Drosophila melanogaster: one gene and its partner. The protein of the gene in region 1 binds, or shares a complex with, the protein of each later gene. Each region holds a gene or a part of one and is shown in the gene's direction. Other genes may lie near its edges.

Region 1 (7,566 bases):
TGATTTGAACCGATTACTAATTTCATTATCAAAAGTAAAGTCTAGTTCGAAGTTAAGATGTATTGACATAATGGAAAATGCTAACGGAGGTATTGTGTGCTTGAACAAATGAGGTGCTAGCTACTTGGCCGCGACTGTGCCACACTATGGGCAAGCGTCGAGTTGCGATCTATAAATATTGACAACAATAGCGGAGTCACAGAGAGTCGCCGGGTCGCCGACAGGCTATATCCACATGTTCTGCACCCAAATCGGGCGAGGCGAGTGCGTCGGCCTCGGGAACACAGAGACGCAGAAGCTTGGAAAGTTGCAACTCCAAATTAGGAGTTCAATCGAGGGTTACACACACAGGCCGCGCACACTCGCGCACAAGTGAACGGTACTTTGCGACAGCTGATTAATAAACAAACAATCCGGCAATCAGCGAATCGAGGAACCACGGAAATGTATAAAACTTAGAAATCAGAAGCGTGACGCCCACACAATTAGGAAACGACGACGGGCTTCGTAGGTGCTTTTCTCGCTTTCGAAGGCCGAGCTTGAAAAGTTAGTTTTGTTTTTTTTTGGGGGTCAGCAGCTGTAGCGCTCTCACTCGCACTCACACTCACTTGCGGTGGCTATGAAGTCGGGATTTGCTATAGTAGTAATCGGTTATTACTCACATTATAAGCCGCGAAAACAGGCTGCTGATCATCTTGAGCGTCGCCTGGCTGCTCTAGGGGAAAACTGTAGGGTATTTAATTAGAGTCCACTCCGTTATCCTGGCCTCCTTTCCAACCCCAATTTTCACCTGGAATTTCCTTGACTTTTCCGTAAATTATGTGATTTGGGGTACTTTATGGGCAATATCGAAATAAAATCCACAGATTTCTGTTTAAGTCGATTTAAATTTCATTTACTTTTTGGTAACTGCGATTGAATTCGAAGGATTTCGAGATTAATTGGCTACGCAATTTTTAGCACCGTGTTGCGTCGCCTGTGGATAATTGCGAATCGCCAGCTCGACCTCTACTACATGGCTTTGTGCAATCACAGTCGAAACAGCCGATGCTTTGTGCCCTGCTTTGCAAATGCATTCGCATTGCCCGCGAACAAATCGCTTTTGTTTAATTCTCAGCAAACAAAAAGAAACGCTTGTAGGACAGAGACAGACGAACAACAACAAGGCTGCTGCGCTAGCGATGTGCTGAAATTTTCGTTCTCGCACATACTGTCCAAAACAAAATACCGTCTGAAAAAATACCAACAAAGTGCAATTGCCATATGGTCAACCGCTAAGACAAGATTGGTGAATACTTAATTCAAGCTAAGTTGGTTTCTTTTAGTTAACAAGTTCATCAGTTAGTTATAGGAGAAAACTATTTTTATATAAGATTTTATCCCATTTTCTTTTTAAAGGAACATCTATGAAATTTAAATCAGATTGTATTGTATATGTTGTTGGATTTTTTGGTGGTGAGTTTTTGTGGTGAGTTTCCTGAAAGTGACCGTACTGCAAGTGGCGCGCTTTTTGCTTGCCAACGTTTCCAACGATCTCAACTTGCAGCCACACCATCGACTCGATTGGGAAATCGACAAGCCGCAAAAAATTTGGCGAAATAGGAGCGAAAACAGACAAAAATGGCGCAGAATGCACCAGACTGCGAGGACACGCAGGTAAGCACAATTGCATAGCACTGAGATGTCAAACATTCCATTGGTTTTGGTCGCAGGACTTTCAATTCAAACTGCACCACAAGATTGTTGCGTTCAAAAAATGCGGTGAGCCCCGCAGCAATGTGAACCTGCTGGCGGTCTCCAGTAGCCGGGGATTGCTCTTTGCCGGGAGTCCAACGCAGCCGGAACTCAAAGGTAATGTAGCTTGAGTTAGCTAGGCTAAATATATAAATTTATCCTGGCACTCCTTGCAGTGATTATTGTAAAGGATTTGGTCAATGCGAAGAGCACAGCCCAACAGCCGCAGGCGCGTCTGGTGCCACTGCCCAGTATTCCGAATTACATTGCCTGCAGCTCCGATGGCAACCTGCTGGCCGTGAATCACACCCAGAACGGCACCAGCCTGCTCAGCATATATGCGGTGCTATCGTTCATGACCCCTGATGTACGTCCTGTTTATAATATTCGCCTCGCCGCCGAGGATCACGTGCACGGCGTCCAGCTCCTCTGGAATCCCGTGCTGCCCAACAGCCTGGCCGTTGTTTTGAGCAACGGAGCGCTCGCGATGTATGCCCTGAAGGAGGGGGGAAACTTTGAAATGCACTCGCTGGACAAAAATCAACAAGTTAAGTGCGGCTGCTGGTCGCCCAAGGGCAAACAGATCGTTCTTGGTTTTCCCGGCGGCACGGTGAAGCAGTTCAAGCCGGATCTGACTCTGGCCAAGACGCTTTTGTGTCCTCCGAATATACATGATGCCCCCTTTGACACCATTGCTATACAGTGGCTGTCGACTTTCCAGTTTGCAGTGATCTTTCTCCAGCATGGCGAGGACTGTAGCCCCTCGCTTTACATTCTAAATGCTCCCAAGGCTGGTGCGCCCAGCTACATAAACTACTATGACATCTGCTATAGCATGAACGGCCCGAGGAATCATCAGTTCGTATTTAGCCATGTGCCCCAGTGGAATCTGCTGCTCGTAGTCTCGGCCAATGGCGTAGAGGTGGGCATCATGCGGTCAACCGAGGCCGGCGATACACCCGCTTGGCAGCAGCTTACATTGCTGGATGAGGCACGCATTGAAATGCCCCTAAGTGAGGACAAGGATGAGACCTTCCCGCTGGGCTTTGCCTTCGACACTTCTACAACGCACCAGCTGACGATAAATGAGAAGAAGCTGCAGACTATGCCCATGGTTCATGTTTTGAGTTCGGATGGAGAATTGCTCTCGTTCAACTTTCTTAATGTGCTGCCGACGGCGGTGTCTGTTTGTTCGCCACCTCCTCCAGTGGCCGATACTTCTGGGCAGTTCAAGCCGTTGAATATGCTGCTTGCTAGTGAGGAAGAAGAGCAGCCAGCTTGGGCAGCCAGTCCCTCCAAGGCTCCAGCTGCAACTCCTGCTGCTTCCTCGGACATATCCTTTGCATTTACACCGAATACCGTTACTTCAACCCCAGCTCCCTCGAAGGATAAGCAACCATCATTGTTTTCTGGCTTTGGAGCAGCTGCAGCTAAGGCACCTGCTCCGCAACTATCTTTTGGTACTGCTCCGACTTCTAGTCCGGTTTCGTTTGGTGCTCCAACTACCAATGCAGCCAAGCCAACAACACCGTTTGGTGGGTTTGGCACGCAGGCAACGACTACTGCCATGGGAAGCATGTTTTCGGCTTCAGGAGCAAATGCCTTTGGGGGAATGGCATTGAATAAACCGGCTATTGCCAGTGTGACACCCCGAACAGCGGCACCTGGGTCAACAGTACCCGCAACTCCTGCTTCTGCTCCAGCAAACAAACCACTGTACACGGTTCCTTTAACATTCACACCAGTGGACACAAAACCAGCCACTTCAGCTCCTCCACAAATCGCAGATGAAAGTCTTAAGCCTGATGACACTGAGCCTATTATCAAGGACATGATTGCCCTACAAATCGAAGCCTTTAGCAAGGATATCCAAAAGCAAAAGGAACAGACGAAGGAACTCCTCAAAGGCGTAAGTAGTGTTGGTATTACACTGCTTCATGTATTAAAGTTGTTATTCCGCAGATTGCAGCACCATCTGCTTTGAGGGCATACGCAAAGAGACTGGATGACCTCCAAGAGCTCAATGAACAAGCCAAGGATGTGGAGTTCGAGTTAGATGTACAGGGATTGCGACAGGGTCTTAATGAGGCCTATGCCATCGTAGCAGAGTGCCGCGGGAAACTGGAGATTTATAGAAAACCAGAGTGGGTAAAGGACTCTTTGAATATATAAGCTATTTAAAACCCGTAATTTTCGTTTAGGATTACGCGTTTAATGAACTCAAGCTCCTGTGATCCCTCTGGCCGTCGCATGCTAGCTCGTCTTCAGAGCTACGTGGCTGCCAATGAGGCCCAGCTGCGTCTTGCCCAGCAGCATGTCGATTTGCAGTGGGAACAGTTTCAGGATGTTGTGCGGCGCAATTCGAAGTCTCGCATGCACATGCCTTGCCTAGAGGGAATCTATCAACGACTGACAAGACTACAAAATCTAACTTCTAACCAGCGAATTGTACAGAACAACATCAAGTCCAAACTGAAGGAGCGCGGATTGCTTCAGGCCGCACTGCTCGACCAGGAGAAAAGTCGCACCCGCACCAACGAAGCGTTAGTAGAAGTTATTGTGACCTCTCTCTTTATGCGACTATAACTTTTTTATTTAGAGTGGATACATTGACCGACTCCATTCTCACGATGAGTCTTAGCCAGGTAGTGGACTCTAATGCAGCCAAGCTCACTCGAGAAAGACTACAAAAAATCCGTAATATTGTTCAGCTGCAGAAGATCAATGTTATTTGTCCCCAGCGACCAGATCGAGTGGGGCTCAAGTCGGAGGTTATTTTGGAAACGAAACGTAGGGCGGAGCAAATTAAAAGGGCAGCAGCCAAGCCTGCAACAGCCAACAAATACACCCAAGCAGCAGTCGCTCCGCCTTCACCACCAGATGTTGCACCCACGCCAGCTGTTGCACCCATGCCACAAGCAACTGTTACAGTGGCTCCTCCGCTGCCTAAACCAATGCCATCTATACCGTCCGTTGTGGAAAAGCCTGGAGTGCCCACACATCCGACAACTCCAGTGGCTACGCCATTTTCCTTCAGCCAAAGCATCCCATTTGTGAAGACATCTACTGTGACGCCAACGACAAATACTGTGACTCCTGGCGAAGCAGCCAAGCCGGGTTTATCCATTTTCGGCGGCAGTACTATTTCCAGCTTTAGTTTTGGTGGTGGTGCTGCCAAGTCGGCACTCTCATTCGGAACAGGATCGCCAGCCGTGGCAGCTCCTACACCAAAACCAAACCCGTTGTCAGCGGTCGAAAAACCAACACCCGAGCCGACTAAGCCCAAAGAGCAGAAAGCAGCAGAAAGCAAAGAATTCAAGGCGGTACAACCCGAAACAGAAGAGTCAAAAGTACCCCAAAAACCAAAGGCAGAGACGGAAAACAAATCCTTTGGATTTGGAGGATTTACAGGAACTGGAGGTACTGTCGGAAATACTTCCAGCTCCCCGTTCAGCTTTGGCGGACTGGGTTCATCTCTAGGCTTCGGAGGAACAGCCGCTGCTGTGCCAAAATCTGAACCTTCCAGCACAGCAACCACTAGTGTAGCCACATCAGCTTCAACTGCACCATTTGGCATCTTCTCAGCAGCTTTGGCGAAACCATCCAACTCTGAACCGATCACCACGGTCACTAGCAACACAACCACCATCACCAGCAAGCCTACGAATGTAATTGCTTCGAGCAGCGTAACTGATGCTCCTTCCGTCACCACAACAAATGCAGTGACCAGCAGCACGGATCCTATTGGAGGCCTCTTTAGCTCTGTGACTATCTGCAAGCCCAACACTCCTGCAGGTAAGCTATAGTTTCCTTTATCAATATACCTTACGCATAAATGTATACGCTTATTTGGCATAAACTCTAAACGGCTATATATGTCTTTTACTTTGCAGATACCACCAAACCAGCCAACATTTTTGGAGGAGGTTTATCCGCTGGTAGCTTTTCATTTGGCGGAACGATTGATGCCTCAAAGGGATTATTCGGCAGTACCAAACCAGTGGCAACAGCTCCCACAAGTGTGACGGAGGCGAACAACAAAACTGATCCTATTTCAACCACCCCATCAGCCATTTCGACTACTACTGCTACGACGACTGTGTCTAGTCCAGCAGTAGTTCCTGCGGCAGTTACCGCAGCAGTTCCGGCAACATCGAGCACAACGGTAACATCTAGCACTGCTGTTCCCGGCAGTGCGTTCTCCTTCTCAAACGCATTTAGCACCCTAAGTGCGGGAGGTGCTGCAGCTCCAACTACCAGCGCTTCAGCTCCCTTAGCTGCCAAAAGCCCAACCGCTACATCTACAGGCAATAACTCGTCGAATTCAGTGTTTGGTGGTGGCTTCGCAGTAGCAACATCAACAGCGGCTCCAGTGGCTAGTCCCTTTCAGTCAGCTGCAAAAAGTCCAGTTTCGAGTGCAAACATTTTTGGCAGTATACCTAAGGCGGAGACCAGCGTTTTCGGAGGAGCTACAACTGCTCCTTCAAACACCACGGCTGCGGCAACACCAGATGCACCACCAGCGGGTCTCTTTGCATCGGCCGCGATTAGTAACCCTTCGCCGTTTGGTAGTCCCACGACTAGAGCACCAGCCTCTGGCGGTAACATTTTTGGTCAGGCTGTTAAGCCAAGTGTCTTTGGACAACCAGCACAAGCAGGCGATAGCGGAGGATCTATTTTTGGTGGCGGATCCGCCAGTACACCTTTTGGATCCAGCTCAATTTTTGGAGGAGGTAATACGCAGGGCGCAGTCGGCGCTCCGGCTGCAGGAAGTACTTCAATTTTTGGCCAAAAAGTGTTTGGTCAATCATCAGCGGCTGCACCGGCAGCAGGTGGGAATATATTCTCCAATCCCGTCGGCAGTCCGCAAGCTTCTCCTTTTGGTGGCGGAGGAAACTCTATTTTCGGATCACCAGCAACAGCTCCGCCCGCATCTGGCGGATCGATCTTTGGGGGTGGCAGCAGCTCTGGTGGATTTGGCTCCTTCACGCAGACGACACCAGCTCAGGGGGGCTTCGGTGGTGGATTTGGCCAGGGCGGGGGTGGATCTGTGGCCCAGACAGGTTTTGGCTCACCACAAGCCCCGCAGCAGCAAACTACGACACCAGGTGGGTTTGGAGCCAAGCCCGTTTTCGGTGGATCCCCGGCCTTTGGAGCTAGCCCCACTTTTGGGGGAGGTGCCACCTTTGGCAGTCCGAAGGGTTTCGGTGGATTTGGCGGTGCCAGCCCAGTAGCCTCCCCTCCACCCTTTGGTGCTGCTGCAAAGCCGGCACAGGGAAACATTTTTGAAACGTTGGGGGGACAGGAATCGGGACTCTCTTTCGGAAATCTAGCACAGACTGGAAACTCAAATGCACAGAAACCAGCGTTTGGCGGGTAAGTTCGACCGACATACATACATATGCATACTTATATAAGTATTTCCAAGAATGCATACGACTAACGAAATATTAAATTTTACTATTTCAGATCGAGCTTTATGAATTATCGTTGAGTTCATAATAAATGTGTTGCATAACTCAATAGTTTTGCTTGTTCAGTTTTCATGAAATAAGAATACCAGTTAAAATTAAAAATCTTAAATCTTAAATCTTTATTAAAATTAAAAAAAAAAAAACTGTGTTTTTACTTCACGCGAAATGTGTGTACTGAACTTTATTTAGTATTTATAGTCTAGTATGATAAGGGTTTCTTTTTTTATGAAATACTTGCTATGGTATTATGCTCATGCTAAGGTTATCACCTATTTCATTCGAACATCTCATGAGATGCAGACACGTCTGGCTTGGATTCCCGTCATTTTTTGGTTCCTCAAAGATGTGGGTGCTTCAA
Region 2 (4,895 bases), about 10 Mb from region 1:
CTTTACGTTCGCGGCGGATCAAGCCAAGAATTGGTACAAGTTCAACGATAACGTGGTTACCCACTCCAAGCCGGAGGAGATGCACAATCTCACTTCGCCCAACACGCCCTACATCCTGTTCTACAAGATGTGCGGCCACTCCAATGAGTCTAATTCGGTTACGGCCAGCTGCAGTTCGAGTATGGTATCGGGCTCAAATGACCAGGTGGTCTCGGTGCCACTGTCGCCGCCTCTGAAGCTGGAGGAGTTGCCACGCCGACTTCGCGACTACGTAAGAAAGGACAACCATGTTTACAACGAAGAGTTGAAGATGCAACGCTTTAAGCGTGGCAACAGCGGTCACGGCAATGCGTTTGTCAGCCGGCACAACTTTGATGGCGATGGTGACGAGGACGACAAGGCGCCGCCGCCGCCCGGAGGATGTGGAGGCAATGGACTGGGCATGAACATCAACCGCTTCGTCTTCTGAGAAAGCGACAGCCAGGATAGCGAGCACACCGGAGGCCACTAGAACATATACTTGTCTACTTTATGAAACACGCGCATACTAATCGAAATGTTACATACATATATATATAGCACGTTCACAACCAATCGAGATATATGCGCCTACGTATATCGAAGTGTATGAGAAACGCGCTTACCGATCGCTTGTTCGCTACCTCCTTGAGTTGTTGTCGATGTTTTCTAAATTGTTTCTTCCTTTTCTCCTTGATCCTTCGGCCCGTTGCCCCAAAAATCATTATACTCATCCACTCATACGAACGCAAACTATTATTGTATTTCCATTTACAAAATTGTTATAATTTTTTTGTTTTTGTTAACACAAACCTAGTTGTAGAACGTGCATATATGCGAACACAAACATATTTAATTATAAAAATTAAAAAAAAAAAAAAACAATAGAATTAGCCAGAAATAGGAGCGATATACTTGAATCCGAAGACCACTAACTTCCAAAACACTAAACCAGAAATAATGTCTGCACCCTAGTTTTTAACGCACAGCTCGAAATTAAATCATATCTCGAGTTGCAATCGAACTAGCAAGAAGCTACAAAACAAGATAATCGCGGCATTGACTTGTATAGATCGAGATCGTTTATAGATCGGGCTATAACCCTCGGATCGTATTATTAGTTTCACTGTTAATTTTAGCAAATTTCAAAAAATTTGCGCATGTGCGACACGAATTTGTAATTGATATATATAAATGTATCTCTTTGGATCTGGTGAGCAGAGGTTGCGATGAATTTTGAACGTTATTGCAATTAAATTGGAATAATTTCAAGGAAATTTGTATATGGTGTATGTCTATTGATAACCAAAATCTATACTATGCTATGCTATAAGTGTATCAATAAAGAAAAGAACAAGCCCAAAGAGTGTTTAATTATTAGAGTCACGAAAGAGTTTAATGTGAAAACAACAAAAATAGTATCCATTCATGGAAGTTACTATATCAAAAAGAAAAGCAATGATCAGAAAGGAGGATATTATATTCAGTTCAAACATTAGAGAGGAGGCGTAAACTAGAATTAAAAACTTGACAGGATTATTGAAGTGGCGAATTGATTTTCTTGCCGCCAAATTTCAAATTATAGCGTACTAATAATCAAAAGTCGGGCCTAAGACTATCGATAATTTAGACCGCGCGGCAGTGTTACCAAATTAATAAGGGAAATTCAAGTGTTGTTGTCAGCAAGGGTGAGAGCCCATTTACAATCTGGTAACACTGCTAGAAAGCGCCAAAATTTTACGTTTATTAGGATTAAGACTAATTTTATTACAATAAAATAGAATTGTACAAATTCCGGCCCCTAGGAAAGGCAACCCAAACTGTGCGGCAAAGTAACGTCCTTGAGAATACCGCATCATGTCGTTCTTCGGATCCAACACGTCGCTGGGAGCAACAAGCACGCCGGCCAAAAGTGAGTTTCCGTAAACAAGACCTCATGCCCTTTTCTCCAAATATTTGTGGGGTCCATTTCCACTTGGTGGAGGCTTCAGCAGCTTCTTGGCGTCCTGCAGGCTGTGGATGCGGATGTCTTTGGGATCTATGCTGGATGTGGGACGGGCTACATGGTGTCAGTGTTCTTATGTGGCCAGACAAAGATGCTCACCCCTTCTTGTGGACCACATAGGCGACGTATCCCACAAAACCTAGCAGGAGGATCAGCAATATAAAAACCAGAGCCATTTTCCACGACCAGCAGGCGACCAGAGCTTGAAGCAAACTAAGGGCAGCTTCTGTAGTATTTTGGAACCCGAAATCTCAGATAAGAATCCAAGGCAGAAGCATAGTTTTCAAAACACTGACCCATTTCTGGTCTTCTTATCTCTTTTGTTCAGCAACCGGTGGCCTCTTCGGATCGCCGTTTGGAGGCACAGCTGCAACCAGCCAGCCAGCACCCGCTTTCGGAGCACAGGCCACATCGACTCCGGCTTTTGGCGCCCAACCGGCGACTTCTGCCTTCGGAGCAGGTTCCGCCTTTGGAGCAACCGCTGCAGCCCCGGCTTTTGGAGCCGCCACAGGAACTTCTGCCTTTGGCGGCTCCGCCTTTGGCAGTACTCCGGCATTTGGTGCGGCGACAACCACAACTGCGGGCACGGGTTTGGGAGGAGGCGGTTTCGGCGGATTTGGAGCAGCTCCGGCAACAAGTCAGGCCGGTCTGTTCGGCGCTCCAGCGACTAGTGCAGCACCACCAGCTTTTAGCGGATTCGGCCAACAGGCAGCTGCGAGTACAGCGCCAGCAAGTGGATTTTCAGGCTTTGGCACAACCACAACGTCGGCACCTGCTTTTGGTGGCTTTGGCACCAGCCAGTCCACTGGCTTTGGGGGCGGAGCCTTCGGATCCAGTAAGTTAAATAAGCCCATTTGTCTTTCTGTGGTATTCCTAACCTGGTTTATGTTTCAGCGTTCGGAAAACCAGCGAATACAACAGTTACGCCGGGATTTGGTGGATTCGGAGGCACCAGTTTTATGCTTGGACAGCCGCAACAGCAGCCAGCGCCCATATCGGCTGACGAGGCGTTTGCCCAATCCATTCTGAATGTATCCATTTTCGGGGATGAACGGGACAAAATAGTGGCCAAATGGAACTACTTGCAGGCTACGTGGGGCACTGGGAAAATGTTTTACTCCCAGAGTGCGGCACCGGTAGACATTACGCCGGAGAACGTGATGTGCCGGTTCAAGGCCATAGGCTACAGTCGTATGCCGGGCAAGGATAACAAGTTGGGACTGGTGGCTCTTAACTTCTGCAGAGAACTCTCAGCTGTCAAGTAAGTCTTAGTGCTTGTCTACATCATGGCATAGGTATTAATTCATTTTATTTTAGGCCACACCAGCAACAAGTGATTCAAACGCTTCACAGTTTATTCGGCAGCAAGCCCAACATGCTTGTTCACATAGATTCCATCAAGGAGTTGGAGAACAAAAAGTGCCAAATTGTTATTTATGTCGAGGAGAAACTTCAACATGCTCCCAACGAAAGCAAGCGTATACTTGCCACCGAACTCTCAAACTACCTTAATCAGGCGACGCTGAAACCACAGCTCAATAATCTAGGTGTTGTGGAGGCTTTGGCTCTGGTATTACCCGACGAAGATCAATTGAGGGAGTACCTTGAAAATCCACCCCGCGGCGTGGATCCGCGCATGTGGCGTCAGGCCAATTCCGACAATCCAGATCCAACTTTATATATACCAGTGCCCATGGTGGGCTTTAACGACTTAAAGTGGCGCGTTAAGTGTCAGGAACAAGAAACGGACACGCATGCATTGTACATAAAGAAGGTGGAGAGTGAGCTGACAGAACTCAAGAAGCGCCATGCCACTGCCACAGCGAAGATACTTGAACATAAACGGAAACTGGCCGAGCTCAGTCATCGCATACTAAGGGTAGGGACACCTAGTTAAATACCCAACTTTATTTTTACATTCAGAAATCCGCATTTTTCAACCACAGATAATAGTGAAACAAGAGTGCACCCGCAAGGTGGGCACTTCCCTGACGCCCGAGGAGGAGGCCTTGCGCACCAAGCTACAGAACATGCTGGCTGTCGTCTCCGCACCCACCCAATTCAAGGGCCGACTCAGCGAGCTCCTCTCCCAGATGCGCATGCAGCGCAATCAATTCGCAGCCAACGGTGGTGCCGAGTATGCCCTCGACAAGGAAGCGGAGGACGAGATGAAGACCTTTCTGACGATGCAGCAGCGCGCCATGGAGGTGCTGAGCGATACCGTCAACAAGGACCTGAGGGCGCTGGATGTTATAATTAAAGGACTGCCCGAGCTGCGACAATCGTGATAGGAATGGAAATGAGCTGATACGTTGAATAAAACCCACATATGTGTAACACAACCCGGTGATTTTCGATGATCGAGACAACGAACAAGTTGTGGCCGTTACACTTTTGCCATTATGTCGTCGTTTAGCATTTCCTGTAGCTTTGAACTTGCACTTTTACGGGCAATGGAGTCGAAACAATCGAAACGAGTTCACACATTCGTCGCCAATGCTGCGGAAATAATTGTGTGGGTCAATGCACTTGCACCGCACAGCTCTTGGACCGCCCGACTTTTCCTCGGCCACTGTCTGAAATTGTCCAATTTCGACGGCTAGGCAGAAGGCAATCGCTCGGACTCATTATGAGTGGCAAACGGTTCGTCTCTGGCAGTTCCAGTTTGTTCAACTCCCAGCATCGGTATCACCATCGTTGTTACATTAACATTATTATGTGCTCTGGCGTGTGCATACATGTGCAGTCTAGTTAGTTGGCTCGTTACATATTTATTTCTTGTGTGGGAAACTAGTTTTCTCCCAGTCAACCAGCCAGCCAGGGTCCGTGCAGGTTTTTTGTTGGCCATTGATGGCGGAGACTTCCGAGCTTC

Evidence for each region.
Region 2: Nup214 (region 1) and Nup54 share a complex: the UniProt entries of both Drosophila melanogaster proteins name them as parts of the nuclear pore complex.

The regions. Positions count from the first base shown.
Region 1 is NT_033778.4:22,918,709-22,926,274, reverse strand, and holds Nup214 (nucleoporin 214kD), read left to right. Parts: upstream 1-1,532; 5' UTR 1,533-1,620; coding exon 1,621-1,656; intron 1,657-1,712; coding exon 1,713-1,851; intron 1,852-1,910; coding exon 1,911-3,643; intron 3,644-3,696; coding exon 3,697-3,878; intron 3,879-3,935; coding exon 3,936-4,277; intron 4,278-4,333; coding exon 4,334-5,529; intron 5,530-5,627; coding exon 5,628-7,110; intron 7,111-7,203; coding exon 7,204-7,228; 3' UTR 7,229-7,338; downstream 7,339-7,566. Other genes in the region: CG30187 (uncharacterized protein), read left to right, coding at 7,503-7,566. UniProt on the Drosophila melanogaster protein: Part of the nuclear pore complex. Serves as a docking site in the receptor-mediated import of substrates across the nuclear pore complex including emb, RanGAP and phosphorylated Mad. Protects mbo/Nup88 from proteasomal degradation at the nuclear pore.
Region 2 is NT_033778.4:12,427,917-12,432,811, reverse strand, and holds Nup54 (nucleoporin 54kD), read left to right. Parts: upstream 1-1,712; 5' UTR 1,713-1,875; coding exon 1,876-1,930; exon of another isoform or gene 1,931-1,952; coding exon of another isoform or gene 1,953-2,061; intron 2,062-2,122; coding exon of another isoform or gene 2,123-2,199; exon of another isoform or gene 2,200-2,217; intron 2,218-2,351; coding exon 2,352-2,858; intron 2,859-2,917; coding exon 2,918-3,284; intron 3,285-3,340; coding exon 3,341-3,902; intron 3,903-3,969; coding exon 3,970-4,311; 3' UTR 4,312-4,363; downstream 4,364-4,895. Other genes in the region: DUBAI (deubiquitinating apoptotic inhibitor), read left to right, coding at 1-469; CG43204 (uncharacterized protein), read right to left, coding at 1,953-2,061, 2,123-2,199. UniProt on the Drosophila melanogaster protein: Component of the nuclear pore complex (NPC), a complex required for the trafficking across the nuclear envelope. Essential for the nuclear import of nuclear localization signal (NLS)-containing proteins in an importin alpha/importin beta-dependent manner.